Callithrix jacchus: one gene and its partner. The protein of the gene in region 2 binds, or shares a complex with, the protein of the main gene of each other region. Links are inferred from orthologs where the notes say so. Each region holds a gene or a part of one and is shown on either strand. Other genes may lie near its edges.

Evidence for each region. The genes of interacting proteins can lie anywhere in the genome.
Region 1: the proteins of CCKBR (region 2) and GAST are in contact, whole or in part, in a cryo-EM structure (PDB 7XOW), measured with the Homo sapiens proteins. The link is inferred for Callithrix jacchus from reciprocal best matches to the Homo sapiens genes CCKBR and GAST. Residues at the interface, in NP_795344.1 of Homo sapiens: Cys107, Pro114, Asn115, Gly118, Thr119, Phe120, Met134, Gly135, Val138, Tyr189, Gln204, Cys205, His207, Leu222, Val349, Tyr350, Ala352, Asn353, Arg356, Pro361, Ala363, His364, Leu367, Ser368, Ile372, His376, Tyr380; in NP_000796.1 of Homo sapiens: Glu85, Ala86, Tyr87, Gly88, Trp89, Met90, Asp91, Phe92.

Annotation. Positions count from the first base shown.
Region 1 is NC_133506.1:91,537,430-91,539,461, forward strand, and holds GAST (gastrin), read right to left. Parts: upstream 1,259-2,032; 5' UTR 1,251-1,258; coding exon 1,040-1,250; intron 911-1,039; coding exon 807-910; 3' UTR 643-806; downstream 1-642. UniProt on the Homo sapiens protein: Gastrin stimulates the stomach mucosa to produce and secrete hydrochloric acid and the pancreas to secrete its digestive enzymes. It also stimulates smooth muscle contraction and increases blood circulation and water secretion in the stomach and intestine.
Region 2 is NC_133511.1:71,929,732-71,933,485, reverse strand, and holds the start of CCKBR (gastrin/cholecystokinin type B receptor), read right to left. Parts: upstream 2,799-3,754; 5' UTR 2,707-2,798; coding exon 2,556-2,706; intron 1-2,555. UniProt on the Homo sapiens protein: Receptor for gastrin and cholecystokinin. The CCK-B receptors occur throughout the central nervous system where they modulate anxiety, analgesia, arousal, and neuroleptic activity.

The DNA of each region.
Region 1 (2,032 bases), on a different chromosome or scaffold from region 2:
TGCAATGGGAAACATTAGAAGATTAAAACTGAGAGTGACACAGCTTGATTGATCTTTCAAAAAGCTGCTTCTGAGGCCGGGTGCAGTGGCTCACTCCTGTAATCCCAGCGCTTTGGGAGGCCTGGGCAGGCAGATCACCTGAGGTCAGGTGTTTGAGACCAGCCTGGCCAACATGGTGAAACCCCATCCCCACTAAAAAATACAAAAAAAATTTAGCAGGGTGTGTTGGCAGGCAACTGTAATCCCAGCTATTTGGGAGGCTGAGGCAGGAGAATCACTTGAACCTGGGAGGCGGAGGTTGCAGGAGGCTGGGATCTCACCATTGCACTCCAGTCTGGGTAACAAGAGTGAAACTCTGTCTCAAAAAAAAAAAAGCTTACTGTGGCTCTGAACCCTACCATCTATTATTCCACTCACACCTGTGGATTCTTGTTCAGTGTGGGGCTCTAGGGAACCCAAGGAGAATCAGCCAGAGTAAGGGTCCCTGCCCCTAAGAGGCACTCAGCTCTCCTCCCTGCTGCAGCCTCACCCCCAGATGAATCCCCCTCCTCTTCCCTGCAGCACTGACACAGTCCACTGATCCACTGGAAACTAGTTTATTAATTAATTATTTTAATTTTAATTTTTTTTTAAAGACGGGGTTTCACCATGTTGGTCAGGCTGGTCTTGAACGCCTGACCTCAGGTGTTCCGCCCACCTCGGCCTCCCAGAGTGCTGGGATTACAGGCAACTAGTTTATTTTTGATTTGTTTTTCAGTGACAGGGCTGGGGTGGGGTAGGAGATGGCTGGGCTCTGCAGCTTGGTTCTAGGGTTGTTGGTTCTCGTCATTGGCACTGCGCCGGCCGAAGTCCATCCATCCATAGGCTTCTTCTTCTTCCTCCACCCATGGGCCCTTCTTCTTGGACAGGTCTGAGGAGGTGAGAGAGGTGAGAACAGGGAAAGGTGCCTACCCTCCAGGAACCAAGGTCAGGGCCAGTCTGGGCAGACCTTGGCTAAACCTGGCCGGGTGAGGCAAGCAGGGCGGTGAGCAGCTCCTACCTGCCACCAGGTGTGGGGGACCCTGGCGTCCCAGTTGCCTTCGGTGGTGAGAGGCTGGGCCCTGATCTTCCAGCCAGTGTTGCTCCAGGTCCCTGTTGGCCCCAGTACCTAAGGGTGCATGTGGCCGCTGGGTGTGGGGCTTCCAAGAAGCTTCTGAGAAGGTGGCCAGAGCCAGTGCAAAGATCAGCGCATACACACACAGTCGCTGCATCTTGTCTGCAAAGGGGAGAACGGCCCAGCTTAAGGGTGGGGCTGTCCCCACACAGGCCCAGAGGCAGGGGACTGAACCGTGTGGCTCCAGGCCTCTATCTGCTGATGAGTCTGCAATTTTTTTGAGACAGTTTCACTCTTACTGCCCAGGCTGGAGTGCAGTGGTGGGATCTCGCTCACTGCAACTTCTGCCTCCTGGGTTCAAGTGATCCTCCTGCCTCAGCCTCCCAAGTAGCTGGGACTATAGGTGCACACCACCACGCCTGGCTAATTTTTTTATTTTTAGTAGAGATGGGGTTTCACCACATTGGCTAGGCTGGTATTGAAGTCCTGACCTCAAGTGATCCGCCCTCCTCAGTCTCCAGAATAGCTGGGACTACAGGCTTCTGCCACCACGTCCAGCTAATTTTATTGTATTTTTTGTAGAAACGGGGTTTCACCATGTTTCCCAAGCTGGTCTTGAACTCTTGGGCTCAAGCGATCCTCCCCTCAGCCTCCCAAAGTGCTGGGATTACAGATGTGAGCCACTGTGCTCTGCCCAAGACTTGTTATTTAAAGTGAACTTTTTAGGCCAGGCATGGTAATCCCAGCACTTTGGGAAGCTGAGGAGGGTGGATCAATTGTGCCCACGAGTTTGAGACCAGCCTGGGCAACATAGCAAAAGCCCATCTCTACAAAAAATACAAAAATTATCCGGGCGTGGTGGCATGTACCTGTATTCCCAGCTTAAGAGGCTGAGGTGGAAGGATCGCTTGAGCCGGGGAGGCGAGGTTGCAGTGAGCC
Region 2 (3,754 bases):
TTTCTTTCTTTCTTTCCCTATCAAACTTCTTGAAAGTTTTGGCCATATATCCTGGTTCGCTTCTCATAATCCCCTCTCCCACCAGCCCAATCTTCAGCCTACCATAGTTAAGCCTCAATACCTACAACTCCTATTTTCTTGTTATTGAATGTGAAGGATGCTGTTCTGACTGTGCTGTTTTTATTTATCTAATTTATGTCAATAGCATTTGACATCACTTACCCCAACATGCTTGAAACTCTCTTTTTCTTGCCTTCTGGAAGGGCATAGTTCCTGCCTTTCTGATAGTTTCATCTGAATATCCTTCATGGATTCTCCTGCTGCTGCCTGGCTTTTAAATAGCGTTCTTCTGCAGAGTCCTGACCCGGCACCTATTTTCTTCTCATTCTATATAACGTTTTATGATTTTAACTATTCTCCTGGTTTCTACCTCTTGCAGGCAAAGACCTTCTTCAAGTCTGTATTTCCACCCCAGATCTTCCCTATACGTTCTAGACCCCTGGAATCAACAGCTTACTAGGTAACATCACCGGAATGTCCCACTAACATTTAAACTTAGTGGATTCCAAGCTGAATTTATAATTCCCTCTTCCAAACCTGTTTCTGCTGTTTTGTTATTTTTCTCATTGTATACAATTGCTATAGCACCAATATCCATTCAACTGTCCAAGTTAGAAATCTGAATGTCATCCCTTGACCTCTTCCATACTCTCTGCTTCGAATCTGTTGATTCCATTTCCAGAAGAGGCTTTCAAATATATCCACTTCTCTCCATCCACATTGCCATCACCTTAGTCTCAGCTAGTACCATCTTTCCCCCAGACCAGTGTAATATTGTAACCTTCTAAAGTATCCCCCTGCCTTCCATCTCCTGTCTTCCAATCCATTCTCTACATTGTAGAACTAATCCCAGTAGTACTACTGAACCTTTTAGTAGTTCCTGTTGCCTGTAGGATAAAGTCCACATTCCATGGTCAGGTCTAGTAGGCTCTCTGCAAACCCTCTGGGCTAATCTCCACCCTGTTCATTATTCCCCTCTTAAATTATATGTTCTAGCCACTCAAAACTACGTCACAGTGGATAAAAGTGCCGTGAATTCAAACTTTGAGCTTTTCATATATCTTGTCCTTTTCCTTGGGATGCTTTCTGTCTCTCCTGCCTGTTTACTTGGTTGGCTCTCCCATATATATGTACATTATATATATTTTCCAACAGGAAGCTTAGAGTCAATCCCCCTAATCTTTTTGACTTTATATCTCATTTCCTCAAGAGGCCAACCTTAATTCTGAAGGAGGCTAGGCTGGGCTAGAGGTGCTCCTCTTGCATTCCCACTGTCTTTTTCCTATCAAGGCTCTTCTACTTCGTGCTGCAATCCCCTGCTGCTCTGTCTCACCCACTAAACTCTGAGCTCCTTGAAGCAGGGATTGTGTCAGTTTTGTTCAACTTACATTTCCACTGCCTAGCACAATCTCTGGTTCAATAAATATTGGCTGAATGACAGAATCCAAGTGTGAGTGTGTAACAACTGGGCTGAGAAAGCATCAATTATTTCGTGGGGTAAATAAATATGTGGATTACAATTTATTCCAACTTTCCCTTCTTGAGCTTAGAAAAATTTCCTTTTGCTTAACATTGTTCCTTCACCTAGAATCCCACTCCTTCCTTTTCTGTCCACTCAACTTCAGACCCTGCTTCAAGGTTCTGGCCTCTGTAAAGTTCTTCTGGTGCCCACAGTTTAGACCTTTTCATGGGACTTCCATGGTGTCTGTGATTTTTCCATTTGCTTGTTTTCCCTCTGTACTTGGCTATGAGCCATGAGGGTCTATTTTGCCCTTGTGCCCCCAGCACCTAGTCTAGGGCTGGAGAAGGAGCTTGGAAGACAGCTGGAGACATTACTTGCAGACAGAGAGAGAGAGACCACAGAGCCTTGAAAGCTCCAAGATGGGAGTCAGGGGGTTTGAGGATGAGTGAAATGGAGACAGACAGCTCTAAAGAGCATCCCCTACTGTTCAGCCTAATTCAGATTCGAGGATCTTTTTTGGGTGGCTGGGGGCTGGGCTGGGGTGTCAGATGTGACCACAATTTCGACTTCCCATTCAAGCTTTCCACAGGGCTCCCTCCCTCCGCCGGCCCCCTTCTTTCCCCAATCTTGCCTTCCTTTCTTGCTTTCCTTCTCTGTTGTGGCTTTGTGAACTAGGTGTAAAAGGAAAAGCAGATCTTCAAGGGTTGGCAAGAGGAGGTCCTCGCCTTCTGACTGGTGTCAAGGAGGGGCTGCGTGTTGGGGAGAGGGCTGTTTTGGGGTGAGCAGGAGCTCTGGGTGTAACCGGGGGACCAGGATGTGAAGGAGTTCCGACCAGGTGGTGTGAAGCTGTGATGAAGTTGTGAGCTGTGGGGGTGAAGGTGTGAGGGGGGCTGTTTGGGGGCTGAGGCAGTACTATGAGGGGCATGGTGTGGGCGTTTGAGGAGGTAGTGTGGAGCTCGTGGGGGGGGGACTTATAAGTGTTCTGGGGTACAGTGAGGAGGAGCTTGTGGAGGGGGCTGAGGGAGGCACCCACCTCTTGTCCCGGCTCCGCGAATGCGAGGGGGCTCGCAGCTGAGGTTTCCCGCACTGCTGCTGTTGAGGAGAGGCGCCCCCGGGCGGCACAGGGAAGCCCCCGGCCCGGGTCCGGTGCCCTGCACGCTCCGGTTCAGCTTTAGCAGCTCCATGGCCCCCGCCGAGCCCGGCGCCGTACTCAGCTTGGCCCGGCGGGCTCCAGCCGCGGCTCCACCGGCTCACGCTGCGATTCCGACTCAGACTCCCGCCGCCCTCCTCCCCCGCCCCCCTGCCCCGCCCGGTCCCCGCCCCCAGCCCAGGCCCCAGCCCTCCGCTCTCCCGCTGCTCTCCCCGCCTGGGTTCGCGTCCCTCCGCCAGCCTCCGTCCCACCAGGTGACTGCGCGCCCCCTCCCCGGCTAGGGAGTTCTGCCCCTCCCTGTGCGACTGTCCTGCAGGCTCGCCCCCTCCCTAGATCTCTTCCGTCTTCTCCTAGAGATTTCTCTCCTGCCCACCTCCCTTTATCACTCGCCCCCACCCCCGATTCTGGGGAATGAGAGAGGAGCAGGAGAGCGAGTGTTGGCAGCGCAGGGGGAGGCTGCGGGGAAGGGAGGGTAGGAGGCGTTGTGTAGGTAGGGACGCTGCCTGGGATTCAACATCTTTCTCTGGTGTAACAGGGAACGTGGAGGTGGCGTTGGAGACCGGGGCTGCGTGCGTCACCTGCTGAGGAGCGGATGCTTTAGTCTGCGCCTAGCGCCGCGTTTACCGTACTGTGTCGCAGTGGCCGCAGTGACCGTGACACTATTGCTACCGTAGTTTCCTGCAGCTCCTCGCTGCGGGACTGGGGTAGCTCCTGCATCTGTCTCCGCGCCCTCCACCTCCTGTCTCAGGCTCGACACTCGGGCTTCCACTCAAGGTTCCCAAGGAGCCCTCCACAGCTGAGCGGGAGTTGGGGTGGAGCCCGGGGGAAGCCTTGCCCCGAGGAAAGGGCTTCCGGGAGGAAACGTCTGACTTGGGTGTTGAGGGCAGTTGGGGTGGTGCCGAGTAAGGTGAGGATGGGATATAGTTCTAGCGCCAGCCCCGGGCAGGCAAAAGAGGAGATGGTTGGTTTTCTACACCGTCTCCAGGCAGCGCCCACGCCCACCCGACACGCGAATGCTACCTGTTTGCTTTCAGTGCAGGCAAAGCCGCCTGTGTAGGGTGTCAGGTTCCCACGAGAGGGGG